4 linked regions of the Ovis aries genome follow. The protein of the gene in region 4 interacts with the protein of the main gene of each other region in a biochemical or structural test. Links are inferred from orthologs where the notes say so. Each region holds a gene or a part of one and is shown on either strand. Other genes may lie near its edges.

Region 1 (4,041 bases), on a different chromosome or scaffold from region 4:
AAGGTATTTTCCAATAAATTGCTAGCTCAATAACATAACAGACAACAGAGATAGAATCTGAATTTTATTTTAGTTTTTAAGATCTGCCCCACCCCACTCCCATTAAAAAATATTTCATTTCTTTTTGTGCAAATAACATTTTCTGTGGACTTTACAGTTCCTAATACTGTGCAAAAAAAATGCCACTTTGAATCACGGCTTTTTTGTTTTGATTTTTTGTCTATACCACATGTGCAGTAATCTGAATTGTTTTCCTTTTTTCTTTTTCCTTTTTCTGTCCTGTCTTCAATGGACAGAGTCACATGTCACGAAGGCTCAGCGCCTGGTCCTTCCAACTAGTATTGATACATAAATAAGCTGTTTAATATAAACAAGTCTCTCTATCTGGCCGTGCAATGTGCACCGTGTGAGTGAGGTAGGAACCCCTCAGCCTGACCACCGAGGAGGCGTTCAGGGACAGCCCGCTTGCCCTCCGAAAGGGAAGCAAGGTGAGGCTTGTTCCAAGAAGAGCATAAAACTTCCTGAAACGCGATTTTTGCATCCATCCTTGCCCTCGGCTTTCAGAACAGGAGAAATAATTCCTCAGAAATTAAAATGGAATTTCTCTGAAAAGCAAAAGGAAACAACGTCCTGATAAAGTGTCATTCTCTCTCCTCTCTCTCTGGCTGACCGCTTCTGTTCCCAGGAATGGGATGGAAACTAAGTCGAGAGACTTTTACCTCCTAACGCTTCCCCCTTCCCTTCCCAGTCATCGCAGAAAGTGTTAAAAGCCACGTGGCGGGGGGGCGGGGGGAGGAGGGACTCTAAAGATGCATCACACGCACACACAGAAGGCTGGACCAGAAACAGGAAAAAGAACCCCAAGAACAATCAGTAAGCCACTCTTCCACCCCTCCCCAAACTTCTCCCACCTCTCCCCAAACTTTCCTTTCTGTGCGACGGTCCGTGGCTTTCCTATTTGCCCTTGGATGATGCAGACGAGGTTCGCAGGCTTCGAGTTCACCTGCTTTCGGTCTCGAGTAAACACAGACCTCTTTCCCGGGGAAGCGGTTCAGGGGCGCCCGGGTTCTCTTGCTCCTGGAGCGCACAGCCCGCGCCCGGACTGGGGAAGCCGGGGAAGGCGGGGAGGGGCGCCCGGCCCTACACCTTGGATTCCGAGGCGCAGCCCGGGCGGCTTGGCTCGTCCGGGCTCGAGTCGCTGTTCGCCGCCGCCCCGCCGTTGTAGCCAGCCCAGGGCTGCAGCAGGCGCACGGGCGGCGCGGCCCCGACGTCGTCTTCGTCGTCGTCGTCGTCGTCGTCCGAGGCGGCCCCGGGAGACGGCGACGGCCGGGCCACCGCCAGGCAGCCCGCGGCGCGCGGCGGGTCCCCGGCGGCCCCGTGGCTCCCGCAGGCGGCCCGGCGCGCGCAGCAGAGCAGGCGCTGGAAGGCCTTGCGGAAGTCGGGGCTGCGGCAGTAGATGATGGGGTTGAAGGCCGAGTTGGCGTAGCCCAGCCAGTTGAAGAAGACGAAGAGGCGGTCGGGCACCAGGTCGCGGTGGAAGGCCTTCACCACGTTGGCCAGGAAGAAGGGCAGCCAGCAGAGCGTGAACACGCCCATGATGATGCCCAGCGTCTTGAGGGCCTTCTGCTCGCGCAGGGCCACGAGGCGCGAGGGCCGCCGCTTGTTGGCGCGCCCGTTGGCCACCGCGGCGGCAGGGAGCGGCGGCCCGGGCGAGGGCGCGGGCGAGGGCAGCCGCGCGGGGCCGCTGAGGAAGCGGCGCTCGCAGCTGTCGATCTTCTTCACCTGCTTCTGGGCCTCGCGGAACACCCGCAGGTACACGAAGGCCATGATGCACAGGGGCACGTAGAAGGAGACGACGGAAGAGGTGATCGCGTAGCCCTCGTTGATGATGAAGTCGCAGCACTCGGGGTCGTTGTAGCACCGGCTCGCCTTGGCGTCCTTGTCCCGCCACCACTGCATGAAGATGGGCAGGAAGGACACCAGCGCCGAGATGGCCCACACGGTGCACACGAGGGCCCGCGCCCGCGCGCGGGTCAGCAGGCTCTGGTAGCGGAAGGGCGACGTGATGGCGAGGTAGCGGTCCAGGGCGATGACACACAGGGTCTCGATGCTGGCCGTCACGCACAGCACGTCCACCGAGGTCCAGAGCTCGCAGAAGAAGGAGCCATACTCCCAGCGGCCCCACACCACGATTGTGGCTCCAAACGGCACTACCAGCAGACCCATGACCAGGTCTGCGCTGGCCAGCGACATGATGAAGAGGTTGGTGAGCGTCTGCAGCCGCGGAGTCTTGGCGATGGCCACGATCACCAGCACGTTGCCCGCCACGATGAGCAGCACAATGAATGCCATCAGCAGGCCCATGCCGACCGTCCACTGCTGCGACAGCAGCGGGGGTCCCTCGCTGGCCGAGGTCAGCAGCGAGGCGGGCGGCGACGCGGGAACTAGCAGCCGCGCCGCCGTGGCCGCGCCGTCGGGGACCGGCGCGGCCGATGACAGGTTGCAGGGCTCGGAGGCGCCCAGGGCGAGCGCCCCCGCGCCCATGCCGAGCTGCGGAGGCCGGGGGAGAGGGGTGTGGCGGAGTTGGGCCGCGGTTGGGGAACCCCCCCAGAGGCCCGAACGGCGGGGCGCGCGGAGGGAGGTCGCGGCCAGGTCAGCGCAGCCGCGGCGCGGGGCCGGAGGCATGGGCGCCGGGCGCCTTCCCCGCCGGAGCCGTGCGCTGTCGCCGCCGCCGCCGCCGCCGCTGCTGCTGGAGCCGCTGTCGCTGCTGGAACAGCTGCCGGGACCTCAGCATGTTTCTGAGCTCGCGGAGCCCGCAGCCCCGGCACCCAGCACCCACCCCACCCGGCTCCCACTCCCCCGAGCCAACCCCCGGGGCCTCGCGTCAGGCTCCTGCAGCCAATCCTGGCGAAGGCACGCCCCTCTCTGGTTCCCCCCCACCCCCACCCGGCCCCGCCAACTCCTAGCACCCCGCCTCCACCGGCGGTTCTGCGGCTCTAGGGAGTCCGGGGCAGATCGCCAAGCAAGCCCCTCCCCAGCGCTCGCGGGTTCCTGCCCGCGCGTCCCTTCCAGAGCCCGCTTGGCTCCAGTGCCCAGTTCCCCTCGGTTCCCAGTCGCGCCCGGCTTCCACCCTGCCCCCTCCCGCGGCCCCCAATCTCCCCTCTCCTGCGCCCTGTTTGCCTCCGGCGTTTGCTTTCCGCTGCGCCCCGGCTCTACCCGCCGCCACCCATCCCATCTACCTCCAGTGCCCAGGTTTCCTGCAGAGCAGAGCTCACGCGCCCTTTAGCAGGAAGGGGACTTCGGTGTTCTCGAAACACCGGAGCGCCTTGGACGGTCTGTTCGCTGGGGGTGGAGGAGTCTGGCTGCAAGACTGTTTCTTGTATTGGGCAGCCTAGGAGGGTGTGTGTAAAGCCCTTCCTCTGTCAAGAGGAGTCCCAGCCAGCTCGCGTCCTGCCAGCTCGGGGATCGGATCGGAGGCGGGTGTGAGCGGTTAGAAGAAACTTTCCAGCGAGCGCCTTGCTAAAGCAGAGCGCGCATCTGTCAGGAACGCTCCCCGGGAGCTATTCTTGCAAGAAGCTTCTGTCGTTCCAGGGCAGCAGATGCAGAAAGCAAAGGAAGGTTTGTGCAGCTGACAGCTAATGCTGAGGACCAGTTGGAAAAATACACACTCCCAGGTCCCAGCTGATGGATGTGTGAGTATGGTGCAACGGTGTGTGCCGGTAATGTAAAGAGAGAGAGAGGCTTAAGGACAGGCATGTTAGAGTAAATGACACCGCCACGGAAGCTAGAACACGTTTAATTACTTTTCAGACTTTTCATGTTCAGTAATAACACCTGGATTTTGTGTTCTGTTACTCACGTGATTGTATGACTTGAGCTGGGTCAGTGCAAACAAAAAAGGTACATTGGCTTTGGGTGACACAGTAGTGAACTGAGATTTCAAATTTCTTGGTCTGCTGCGTTGCCTTCTCCTTTGCCCAAGTTCCCAGATTCTCAAAACTCTAGGATTAATTTTGGAGGGATGAGAGAAGAAAACATATA
Region 2 (4,074 bases), on a different chromosome or scaffold from region 4:
TCTCAAACTGCAGTAACCTCTTCATTAGTCTCCCTGATTTTCTCCCTGCCACGTAACAGACCAATCCTTTTAAACTACACATCACAGAATTTTCTATTGTCTCCCAACCATAGATTCAAATTTGAAATCTTTCTGGTGGTTGGCCATGTACTACCCGATCTGACCCAGGCATCTCTGTGACCTCGCTGTCCACCTTTCTCACTTTAATTTGCTCCACTCCAGTTACCGTGGCTTCTCTACAGTCCTTGAACACACCGAACAGGATTCTACTTTGAAGCCCTGTACTTACTGCCTTTCTCCCCACATCTTCACATGGTGGAGTTCCTTAATTCCTTCACATCTCTGCTTAAATGGCATCATTACCATGGAGGAGAACTGTTTGATCTTTTAAAAATAGCAAAACTGAACCAATACAGTATTGTAAAGTAAAATAAAGTGAAAAAAAAAAAAAAAAGGCAAAACTGCCCCTCTCCTTATCTCTGCCTGTCCTGCTGCTGCTGCTGCTGCTAAGTTGCTTCAGTCATGTCCGACTCTGTGTGACCCCAGACGGCAGCCCAACAGACTCTCCCGTCCCTGGGATTCTCCAGGCAAGAACACTGGAGTGGGTTGCCATTTCCTTCTCCAATGCATGAAAGTGAAAAGTGAAAATGAAGTCGCTCACTCGTGTCCAACTCCCAGCAACCCCATGGACTGCAGCCCACCAGGCTCCTCCGTCCATGGGATTTTCCAGGCAAGAGCACTGGAGTGGGGTGCCACTGCCTTCTCCGATGCCTGCCCTTACCATACCTTAATTCTCCTCACAAGATGACCACCTGGTATTTCATTATCGTCTTTCATTCCTAACCAGAATGTAAGCTTTATGAGAGCAGAGACTTCATCTGTTCACCAAAATCTCTTAATATCTGCAACACTGTGAAGATCTAGGAAAGTGCAAGTGTTAGTTGCTCAGTCGTGTCCGACTCTCTGTGACCCCCACAGACTGTAGCCCTCCAGGCTCCTCTGTCCATGTGATTCTCCAGGCAGGAATACTGGAGTGGGTTGCCATGCCCTCCTCTGGGGATCTTTCCAGGCAAATGCTCAAAAGCTTTATTGAATGAACACAGAATGAATTTATCACTGTTCTTCTTCCCTTCACTACATGGTCCTGATTCTCCTATTTCTCAGTCTCTGGGATGATGACGTCTTTCTGCTTTTTCACTACCTCTTAAATATAAGTTGTAATCAGTATAAAGGTTTCAGGCAAGGATTATCCTAATCTTCAAAATAAAAAATCAATATCTAATGAAAAAGTCTAATTCTCTGCACGATGACTTATTAACTGTGAGTTTACAAATGCTCTGTCCATGAAATTAAGGTGTTTTCCTTTCTCTGAAAAAATGACTGGCACATCCAAGCATGACTGGAATGTAACTTCAGTAAGGAACTGTAGTTTAAGAATAAGTAGTGGACCACAGGGACTTCTGAAAAGAGAAGCAGATGTGGAATTACTGATAAAAATCAGCAAATAACAGTTTGTTTCTAACTCCTTGCATACAGGCTCACACAATGACCTCACTGAATTGCACAACTTGGAGGAAGTGGATACTATTTCAACCCTATATGACAGATGAGGACCCAACCTTAGAGATGAAAGGTCCAACGGCTGGTCACAGGAACCCAGGGCCTGCAGCATCCTGACGGGAAAGCAATGCCCCCAGCCCTCGTTCACCGCTCGCCTCGCAGACACCGCCTCTGACACCCTCGGCCGGTGTCCTCCCTTCGCAGACGCACAGGACAGAATGAAATGTGTCAATAGCTAAAAAGTCCAAGATGGGCCTCTGCGTCCTCTTTACCCGGGAGGCTGGGGTCCTGAGCTGCGCCCTGATCACCGACTTGGTCAGAGGCTCGAAAGGAGGGACTGTGACCTCGGCGAAACTCTTCATTTTAATGCTTGCTTTTAGGCTAAAAGTTTGGTGTCTGGTAGAAGTCCTCGGGGGCTTCCCTGGTGGCACAATGGTAAAAGAATCCGCCTGTCAATGCAGGAGATGCTGGCTTGATGCCTGGGCTGGGAGGATCCCCCGGAGAAGAGAATGGATCACAAGAATCCCAGGATTCTTGTCTGGGGAATCCTTGGACAAGAGGAGCCTGGCGGTCTGCGGTCCATGGGGTCGTAAGGGGTCGGACACGACCGAGCGACTGAACAAAAGAAACTCTCCGGCTCCAGGAACGATTCCAGTCCTCTTAGCCAGCAGCTCTCGGTGGGCATTTAGGAACCGCCCCCGCCACCCCCAAATCCAGCCCGAAACCTGCTGGGTGTGCAGAGAGGACCTCCACCCCCTGAGCGGGGAGGGGAGACGAGAGGGAGGAAGGAGAGGAACGGGAGGTAAAAATAAAGGAGGGTCAGGCGATCGGAAGAGGGGGACGAGGGGAGAGAGGAGGAAGCAGAGGAGAGCAGGCAGCCCTGCTCTCCCCTACCCCCGGCTCCTTCCCTGCCCGCCACCCCCTCCCCAGCCTCGGGCCCCACAACCCGAGTCCCCAGGCGCCGTTCACCCCGCGCTCACCTGCCGTCCGGGCCGGGCCCGGGGGTGTCGGCCGCTGGCTCCGCGGCGCCGCCGGCGTTGAGCCCCGAGGCCCGGCGGCTTCGCCTCCGCGGCCGGCTCTGCTCCTGGGCCTCCAGCTCGGGCTCCATGGCGCGGAGGGGGCGGCGCGGTGGCTGGGTGCCCGGGAGGCCCGCTGGGAGCGGCACGGCGCCCGGCCTCTGCGGCCCGAAGACGGGTTCCTGTCAGGACGGCGCCGCCACCTCCGCCGCCGCCATCTTCCGGGGTTTGAAAATGGCGGCCGTGCGGACACCAGCCAATCAGGGGACGCGGCGCGGTTGCTAGGATCGTGGAGTCCCGCCCCTCTCCTTCCTTAAGGCGCTAAACTGTTCGGAAGCTGTGAGGGGGAGCGTGGTCCACAGGGTCGCCCGGCTGATGAGCCAGAGGCCTGGGGTCTAGTTCCTAAATCGCCAAGGCCCGATTACTAGTGTACAGTTCATTAGGACTTTCACCACAAGTCAAGGGAAACTGGGAAGCATTTTCAGCTCAGTTCAGTCGCTCAGACCTGTCCTACTCTTCGTGACCCCATGGACTGCAGCACGCCAGGCTTCCCTGTCCTTCACTATCTCCCAGAGTTTACTCAAACTCATGTCCATTGAGTTGGTGATGCCATCCAACTATCTCATCCTCTGTCGTCCTCTTCTCCTCCTGCCTTCAATCTTTCCCAGCATCAAGGTCTTTTCCGATGAGTCAGTTCTTTGCATCGAGTGGCCAAGCGTTGGAATTTCAGCTTCAGCATCAGCCCTTCCAATGAATATTCAGGACCTATTTCCTTTAGGATGGACTGGATGGATCTCCTTACAGTCCAAAGGACTCTCAAGAGTCTTCTCTGAAATCAAAGTTTAGAAGCACAATTCTTCATTGCTCAGCTTTCTTTACAGTCCAGCTGTCACATCCATACATGACTACTGGAAAAACCATAGCCTTGACAAGACGGACCTTAGTTTGCAAAGTAATGTCTCTGCTTTTTAACATGCTGTCTAGTTTGGTCATAGCTTTTCTTTCATGGAGCAAGTGTCTTTTAATTTCATGGCTGCAGTCACCATCTGCTATGATTTTGGAGCCCAGGAAAATAAAGTCTCTCACTGTTTCCACTGTTTCCTCATCTATTTGCCATGAAGTGATGAAAGTGGATGCCATGATCTTATTTTCTGAATGTTGAATTTTAAGCCAACTTTTTCACTCTCCTCTTTCACTTTCATCAAGAGGCTCTTTAGCTCTTCTTCGCTTTCTGCCATAAGGGTGGTGTCATCTGCATATCTGAGGTTATTGATATTTCTCCTGGCAATCTTGATTCCAGCTTGTGATTCATATAGCCTGGCATTTCACATGATTTATGCTGCATATAAGTTAAATAAGCAGGGTGACAGTATGCAGCCTTGACGTACTCCTTTCCCGATTTGGAACCAGTCTGTTGTTCCATGTCCATTTCTAACCATTGATTCTTGACCTGCATACAGATTTCTCAGGAGGCAGGTCAGGTGCTCTGGTATGCCCA
Region 3 (4,132 bases), on a different chromosome or scaffold from region 4:
ATCCGATAAACACATGTCCCACTAAATTTAATGTTCAAACTTATATTTGTCATGTTCTAATAATCACCTGAAGTTGACTGGCTCACCCCCAGATATTAATCATTAACCAGGTGTCAGTTTAAAATTCCATGTGAAATCGTTAAGGTCAATAAATGCAAAAAGGTCAATTTACTAGAAGGATTAAATAAGAGTTTCCATTTCACTGTTTATATAATTTGATAAATTTGTAAGAACTTTTTTTTCATAAAAGTATGTGAACGTTATAGGTTTCTCCACTGAAGGAAAAAAAGTTTGTATTGTGTTAGTTCCAGTTACAACTTCTAGCTGAGTTAAAGCTCTAACAGCCTTAAAGCAGGAAATCCAAAAGGAAATTCCATCATCAGTTCCTGGGGCTTGGTAACTCAAAGGTTCTTTGAAACAGAGATACAGAAGTTCTCCAACTATTTACTATAACCTTACCTCATATCTTCAAGCAAATCACATTCTGCTTGATGTTTGGCTTGAAGTTTTGTCATCTGTTCAACTTGAATGTTTTTCAGTTCCTGTGTAACTTTCACCTGAAATATACCATATATTTATAAGGGCTTAACACAACTTTAAAAAAAATTATTTAAGGAAAATATGTAATACTTGTTAGAATATATAACTGTTACTTGCCTCTCCTCTGAGGACCACAATCCTGTTATTAGCCACCTAATTTTGTTCACTGCAGATACTTAATTTTAACAACTAGCCAAAATAACCTGAAGCAGAAGCTAAATGAAAGTACATGAGTATAAAAATTACAGATTAAAAAGGTGCAAAATAAACTGCCAGTCGTTTCATTTCATGTACAATACCTATCTAGGTCTTCTTAGAGCTTTAAAAGCTCCTGTTCTTCCAAACAGGATTCAAATGTATTAACCATAAGGAGAGGTGAGCAGAGCATAGATGGGAGAAGGGGACATAACGAATGCCTAATATCTAATGACTGAAATTTACACAATCAACTACAAAAATTATTCTATAATGGCTAGGAGAAGCACACTCTCTGGATGGCGCCCTTGCTGACAGCACAGCAAATCAAAATCTCTTGTTCACAAAGAAGAAAGCAAAAGTGACCTGCCAGCTTATGCAGAGCTTTTAAGCCACCCCAGCAAGCCGGTTCCCGTGGCATTTCCACTTCAAACAGAACAGTAAATGCAAATTGGCCAGTGCCTCGCCCGCCAGGCCAGGATTCAGGTTACAGTGGGCCTGGAACCCTCGCCGCCACCGGAGCAGGGCTACCGGAGGGCTATGTGTGAAAAGAAAAAGACTCACTTGGAGAACCCAGGTGAGAAACAGAAAAGAAGAGGGAGCAGACACGAGTGAGTTAGGCATTCACCAAATGTTTGCCCACAAGGGGAGGACAGAACAGGCTCCTCCACCCAGCGCCCTGAGTAGACACTCAGTAACCATCTGCAAGATTGAAACGACAAGGACACAGCCTCGCTCCCTGGGAAAAAAACTGGGGAAGGACACTGAAACAGTTCTGGAAGGGCTGAAGCTGCTGACAAGCCCGGAGCACTCGTCACTCCCACCCCAAGCCCAGATCGCGGCGAACACGCCACGCACCGCCCGGTTCTCGCTCTCCTGGGAAGAGAATCACCACCTTCCTCTCCCCCTTGTCGGAGGGGCGGGGCAGGAACCGGGAAGAGAAAGGCAGAACCGTTCAATGCTTAATTTCTTGTTTTCCCCTGGGGTGGGGTGGCTATTGCGACTTCTTTTCGGTCGCCGGGTGGGGAAAGCGGGCCAAATCTTAAGGCGAGGCTGGTAACAAATGTCCTGTAAATCCGCAAATGCGCGAGGGTGGCAACAAGCGAGAGGGGGGCTCAAACCTGGTGCAGACTAAACAATCACACAAACACAAGGCTCTGCAAAGCTGCGGGGGCTCCCCCACCTCCCCTCGGTGAAGCCCCGGAGAAAGCACTTTGCAGAGAGCAGCACTGCCATGCGCGCTCGCTCACACACACACACACGCACGCACACTCGAAACTCCTGTGAAATGTCTAGGTTGGGGGGTGGTCTCCTGTGCGGTGAAGGGGACGAGCCACGGCCGCCCCTCCGCTGCGAAGGCACCAAACACACGCGCCCCCCTCCAGGAACCGGCGGCAAGTGAGTGACAAGCCCGAGACGACGACGGTCACGGCCCCCTGCGCAAAGGGGGAGGGGGCGCCGCGGTGCCCCAGCCGCGTTCCTTGTACGCATCCCCGCCCAAAACCTCAAAGACCCCCAGCTGCATCCTCACCTTCCTCGGCGGCGGCTGCATGATGCTGAAGGGACATCAATCCTCCTCCCACGGCGGCGTAAGTGAGGAGAGGAAAAGGAGGGTCGAGAGGAGAGGGCCGCCCCGGGAGCGGGCGTGTGCTTGTGTGTGTGTAAGGAGAGCCTGAGAACGAAGACTCGCCCGGGAAGCTGCAAGGCCGGCGGGTGGCAGGAGAACCCGGGTCGGAGGGTGAGTGTGAAGAGAAGGAGGAGGAGCCCCGGGAGGGCCTGGGCTCTGGCGGCCCGGGGGGTGTGTGAGGCAAGGAGGCGGAGACCGCGAGGGGGCGGGGGCCCGGCTGCGGGGGCGCAGGGTCTCCCAGCGCCTCCGGAGCAGCAACCCTGCCGTCCCGTCCCCTGCCCTCCGCGCCTCCCCACCCGCCGCCGGCTCCGCGGTTCCTCACACGCGGCCCTCCCACCCCCACTAAGGCAGCCCGACCCTCTTTGCCCGGCCCCGGGAGGTGGTAGGCGGCGCCGCGCTCTGTGCTTCGGTTCCTCCACTCAGGCCGCGGGAATTTCCGGCCCCAACGCGCGGCGCAGCGCCCCACTCCGGCGGCGGAGGGGACAGCTTAGGCCACAGCCGGGCTCGAGGGGCCGGGCCAGGCTTCTGGGACGGGGGGCGGCCGCGGCTCGGGGCACCGTATCGCGGCGGGGAACGGAGGGAGCTAACGGATCGGTCGGCGAATGAGAGGGGTAACAACGCTATCGCAGCATGGAAATCCCCCCCCAGTTCTCTCCGAGAATGGCACGTTCCAAACGCCTCCGGTCCTCCCTCCCCCACAGTGGGAGCCAGCCGGGGGCTTCCCGCGCGCTTTCCCGCCTGCCCGCCGCGGTGCGCGCCTCCGGCGGGGGCGCGCACGTGGGCGGGAGAGGGCTCTGCGCCGACGCACGCGCGTAAGCCGCCGTCTTCTCCTGACGCCCACTCGTGTGTGTGAGTGTGTGTTAGTTACAATGTGGCGGGAGGGGGGTCAGGCAGTATGCCTATTTGTTTGAGGGAGTAGCAGAGTGCCTTTTTTGCTTCATGGTCCTCCAACACCCCTACCCTCTCGTGCAGATGAGCCTGGCGGGCCAAGGCACCTAGGAGCGAGCGTGGACAAGTCCTTTCGCAGCGGCCGCAGATGCCTGGTTTGGGTGAGGGCGAGGGCGACTAGTTGCCCTGCAAAGGAAAAATCGGTTGTCTGCTACAGGGCGTCCAAGTCAAAGAGCATGAGGTCGTTAAGGCCAGGACCCGCCCCATCCCCCATGTCACAGATGGAAGGCCAGAGGAGTGGAGACTTTATGAAGGTTACACAGCATCACTTCATGGGAAATAGATGAGGAAACAGTAGAAACAGTGTCAGACTTTAGTTTTGGGGGCTCCAAAATCACTGCAGATGGTGACTGCAGCCGTGAAATTAAAAGACGCTTATTCCTTGGAAGAAAAGTTATGAGCAACCTAGATAGTATATTCAAAAGCAGAGACATTACTTTGCCGACTAAGGTCCATCTAGTCAAGGCTATGGTTTTCCTGTGGTCACGTATGGATGTGAGAGTTGGACTGTGAAGAAGGCTGAGCGCCGAAGAATTGATGCTTTTGAACTGTGATGTTGGAAAAGACTCTTGAGAGTCCCTTGGACTGCAAGGAGATCCAACCAGTCCATTCTGAAGGAGATCAACCCTGGGATTTCTTTGGAAGGAATGATGCTAAAGCTGAAACTCCAGTACTTTGGCCACCTCATGCGAAGAGTTGACTCATTGGAAAAGACTCTGATGCTGGGAGGGATTGGGGGCAGGAGGAGAAGGGGACGACAGAGGATGAGATGGCTAGATGGCGTCACGGACTCGATGGACGTGAGTCTGAGTGAACTCCGGG
Region 4 (4,030 bases):
TTAAAGCTAAACTTAAAAGCTAGACATAGAAATAAATAACTGCCCCAACTTCACTTGAAACATAACAATAATAGCTGGTCTTTACTGAGCACTTATTATGTGTCAGGCACTATTCTGCACCCTTTATAAGTTTATGTAATACAAAACAGCCAGTTTACAGATAACGGGAGACATATTTCCAGGTGAGACAAGGTGTTGGACCTTAAGCAAAGCTGAGGTGGTGTGCAGTCAATGAGGCATATTCTCTCCTTTCAATGAGCTTACCACCTTGTATGGAAAGAAGGGAAGGGATCTAACGCATAGTTCAGAATAAGCAGAAAACTGACAAGACACACATTTAGGAGAGTCCAGAGGAACGCTGATTTCTTCATCCTGGCAGGGTGCCTGAAGGCTTCTTGGAGGAGGTGTGCAAGCAGATAATGAGGACACAAATGGAAGGAGATTTCCATAACTGTCAGTCCCTCAGCTCCCAAAGCTACCAAAAGGCCCGTCTCTTCTCCCTGTCCCCCTCCTCCACTTCATCTGGAACAGGCCTGTTTCCAAAAGAGGACTAGCTCAGCCTAGCCCTCCTTTCCTCTGACACAGTCCTCCAGCTGCTGCTTGCCCTTTCAAGCACGCAGGCACATGTGTGAACTTTTCACCAGGGCTCAACCAGGGAAGAACCTGCATCACGGTGCTTGGTCATACAAGGGACCCCTTTAAGGGAATCCATTCCTTCTCTACTTCTCTACTCAGGGACAGCCCTGAGCCTATACCAAACTAAGATGCAAGGGACTCCCCGCAACCAGCAGCCATATCACTCCTCTCCAAGCTTCCCAGAGGTGAATTTGCTTCCACTCCCTTCTCTTAAGTGCACCCCTCAGGTCTCCCACACTCATCCTCTTCCTCCTTGGTGGTTAAGGCTCTGCAGCAAGGATTTTCAAACCCTCACTCTTGGCATCTGTGTGACCTTGGGCAAGTAACTGAACCAATATCAGTAAATGAAACAATGTCAGTCCCAGCTTCCTTATCGGTAACATAAGGGGGTTTAGAAGAAACACTCGCTCTCAGAATTGTTGTGCATCAGAACAAAAGAGTGCAAGGAAAGCATTTTACATAGAACCTGACACATAATAAGTGAATAAGAAACAGCAGCTATAATCATCTTCACAGGGATGATGACGATGGTTGCAGTGATGGGGATGGTGGTGATGTTGGTGGCAGTATAAACTCGGGCTTGAATGGCGCTGAAATACCCTCTCTATTCTCTCCCCCCACGCCACCCAAAAGTCTGGGGCCAGGCCACACGGGTTGAGACACATGCGTCATCCAGCTGTGGGGTGAATGCAAGATCTTCAAGCTGCAAGCTTTAGGACTGAAAGGTGGTGATGCCCTAGCCCACCTGGCCGGTCACGGGGTGATGCTGATTTTTTGATTAAGGATGTCCAACAATCAAAGACCCTCACCTCCTTCATACCCATTCTCTAGGTCTGAAAACAAATAAGAGATCAAAGAACACAGTAGCTGCGCCCGCTGCAACACTCGCCCAGGGAGCCAGGAGAGCGTCCACTTTGCCCCTGCCTCAGTTCCCCAACTCTCCTCCCGGTGCAGGCAAGCCACTGCTGCGCTTGGTTGCAGAGATAACAGGTTAGCAAACCGGGCCAGGGAAAAATCTCTGCGCTTCCCCGAGCTAACCCAAGCCCCTCTTCCCAACGCAGGTGGGCAAGCAACCCACAGCCTCTCAACAACTTGGTGTATTTCACCATCACTGGGCACACGGCCTCAACATCGCCCCTACGCCGCGTTCGCAGAAGAAAAGCGGGAAATCGGAAGGGGGGCGGGGGGGAGACTTCTCAGGCCGGTTCTTTTCTGGGGGCGCCTCCAGGAGGCGCGGCCCGACTTACCTTGTCTGACGGCTTTGAAGGTGACGGCCTCCTTGCAGCTGTCGATGACTCCCAGTACGTCATAGCGGGGCAAGCCGGACACCCGGATCCCCTGCACCTCCAGTAGCAACTCGCCCTCGCTCAGCCGAGGGCCCTCGCCGCCGCCGGGAAGCCCCGCCGCTTCGGTAGCCGTCACCGCTCCGACATACGGAAACTCTCCGTTCTCCGCGCCCCCCAGCACCGTCACCCCCAGCTCTCCCTGGGGTCCCCGTTTTACGGTGCATTCGTGAACCCTGCTAGTCCAGTGGTTCTTCTTCTGGATCACTTTCGACATGATGAGTTACACCCCTACTACGCCCGCCAAAAAAAATAATGATAAAATGAGAGACAGGTGCCCCCCACAGCACAAGCCCCCAAGCCCCTGCTGGTTCATGGGAGAGACATCTCCCCCCACAAACAACGCAGCGGGAGAGAGAAACTTGGCAGCCTCGCTCCCTTGCACACACTCGCTCACTCAAGCCATCATAAAACAAACTTTCTGGGCTTCCCCGCGAGCCCTGCACAGGCGCCCGCGAGCTTTGTTTGCATTCCGGTGCTTCTCGGTCCACGTTCCGGCGCCCGACCGTGCTCTCTGGGACCAGAGTCCACTCTGCGCAGCTTGGATTATTTTTTTTTTTCCTTCCTTTCTTTCTTGCCTCTTAGAAATGCGGTGTCTCCTCTTTGCCTCCCGCCTGGGTCGCCTTTCCTCGCTGGCGGGCAGTTTCTGAGGGTGAGGGAAGCCCTTCTAGGCAGTTGCTGGGAGCCCTGGAGACGCGGTAGCTGAGCGGGGGCGGGGGGGACAGGAGGGAAGTGCCTGCGTCCCCTTTAAGCAGATACAAAGGCTCGGCTTGTTTTGTTACAGTTCATTCTATTCCGCGCCGCCGAGCGCAGCGGCCGGCAAGAGGAGACGCGCGCGCATGCGCCCCGCGACCGCCTGCCGGCCGGCCCGCCCCACCCCGCCTTCCCGAAGTGAGAGATTCCAATGTGCTTCCCGTTGGGTCCTAAGTCCGACTTCTCCAGGATCAGCCACTTTTCTCCCCCTTCACACACCCTTCTCATTCCTACTTTTATTTCAGTGCTCACGACTCTGCATAGCCCCTTCGGGGGTCTGGGAGAGGAGGAAGTGTTTTACTCCAACTGACTGCAACTTAAAAACATGGGCAATCTGCTTGGGTATTTTAAAACCATTTCAAACAGGTGGGGGTTGGGGAGGCGCACACTCACCCTCGCGCTCACACTCACGCACACACGCACGCACACACGCCGGCCTAAGCTTCCTTACCGCCCTCGGCCAGTGGCTGGCCACGCTGTCCGTCACCCAGCCCACCCCCCGCCGCAGTTCCCTCTAATACCCTGACCCCAACCCAGAGGAGTGCGCCTGCCCGGCTTCCCCCCAACCTGCACTGTGAGGGCGGGTTCTGGTCTTTGAGTAGGGTGTGCCCCAGCCTCTGCGACCCTGGGGAGGGGGGGCCGTGGTGGTCCCCCAAATGGGATCCGTCACACGCCCACACACGTATACACACACTTATCTGCATCCTTAAACTTTAGGGCCAACTTTTCTGGACGCAGATAAAGTATAAGGCGAGGGAAAGAAGCCTAAAAGCAAGAGAGGCTTGGGGTCTTCAACCGAAAAGGGTCTAGCTCTTTAAAACTGGCGGCCAGAGACCTCTGGAACCAGGCGTCTGTCCTGGACTCAAGTTCCTGGCTAAGCTGGGCAGCCTTTGGACCCGCCCCGGGGCCAGGAGATAAGGATCACTCCTGGGTCTGGGATCTGCACCCAAGTCCTGGCGCCCGCGGGGGCGTGGGCGCGGCAGCCACCTCTCGGAATTCACAGCCTGGAGTTGCTGTTGCCTCGGGCACCGCCCGAGGGCGGGGGTAGAGCCAGCTAATGTCCCTGCTAGGTTTCGGAACGTGCTCGGGGGCTGCGGACAGAAAGAATATCCTGCACCGGCAAGGCTACCCTCCCTAAATACTCCCCAATCGGCCTGGGCGATAGTCTCCTAAACATTTTCTTTTCCTCAGTGATTTATAACTTATTTATCCATCTTGGGTCACAAGAGAGATTTCAAGTGCTAAATAAGGGAGGTGAGTGTAAAGGATTCCGAAAGGACGGGGTGCCGCAGAGGTCA

Evidence for each region. The genes of interacting proteins can lie anywhere in the genome.
Region 1: the proteins of MAGI1 (region 4) and ADRB1 interact in a test that uses a peptide from one of them, tested with the Homo sapiens proteins (2 studies listed by IntAct). The link is inferred for Ovis aries from reciprocal best matches to the Homo sapiens genes MAGI1 and ADRB1.
Region 2: the proteins of MAGI1 (region 4) and NET1 form a complex in vitro, tested with the Homo sapiens proteins (3 studies listed by BioGRID and IntAct, with this or other methods). The link is inferred for Ovis aries from reciprocal best matches to the Homo sapiens genes MAGI1 and NET1.
Region 3: the proteins of MAGI1 (region 4) and FCHSD2 form a complex in vitro, tested with the Homo sapiens proteins (2 studies listed by BioGRID and IntAct, with this or other methods). The link is inferred for Ovis aries from reciprocal best matches to the Homo sapiens genes MAGI1 and FCHSD2.

Annotation. Positions count from the first base shown.
Region 1 is NC_056075.1:34,061,430-34,065,470, reverse strand, and holds ADRB1 (beta-1 adrenergic receptor), read right to left. Parts: upstream 2,801-4,041; 5' UTR 2,686-2,800; coding exon 1,141-2,685; 3' UTR 52-1,140; downstream 1-51. UniProt on the Homo sapiens protein: Beta-adrenergic receptors mediate the catecholamine-induced activation of adenylate cyclase through the action of G proteins. This receptor binds epinephrine and norepinephrine with approximately equal affinity.
Region 2 is NC_056066.1:42,755,384-42,759,457, forward strand, and holds the start of NET1 (neuroepithelial cell-transforming gene 1 protein), read right to left. Parts: upstream 2,801-4,074; 5' UTR 2,669-2,800; coding exon 2,541-2,668; intron 1,757-2,540; exon of another isoform or gene 1,673-1,756; coding exon of another isoform or gene 1,620-1,672; intron 1-1,619. UniProt on the Homo sapiens protein: Acts as a guanine nucleotide exchange factor (GEF) for RhoA GTPase. May be involved in activation of the SAPK/JNK pathway Stimulates genotoxic stress-induced RHOB activity in breast cancer cells leading to their cell death.
Region 3 is NC_056068.1:51,337,004-51,341,135, forward strand, and holds the start of FCHSD2 (F-BAR and double SH3 domains protein 2), read right to left. Parts: upstream 2,801-4,132; 5' UTR 2,288-2,800; coding exon 2,267-2,287; exon of another isoform or gene 1,670-2,266; intron 558-1,669; coding exon 460-557; intron 1-459. UniProt on the Homo sapiens protein: Adapter protein that plays a role in endocytosis via clathrin-coated pits. Contributes to the internalization of cell surface receptors, such as integrin ITGB1 and transferrin receptor.
Region 4 is NC_056072.1:35,499,250-35,503,279, reverse strand, and holds the start of MAGI1 (membrane-associated guanylate kinase, WW and PDZ domain-containing protein 1), read right to left. Parts: upstream 2,801-4,030; 5' UTR 2,197-2,800; coding exon 1,884-2,196; intron 1-1,883. UniProt on the Homo sapiens protein: Plays a role in coupling actin fibers to cell junctions in endothelial cells, via its interaction with AMOTL2 and CDH5. May regulate acid-induced ASIC3 currents by modulating its expression at the cell surface.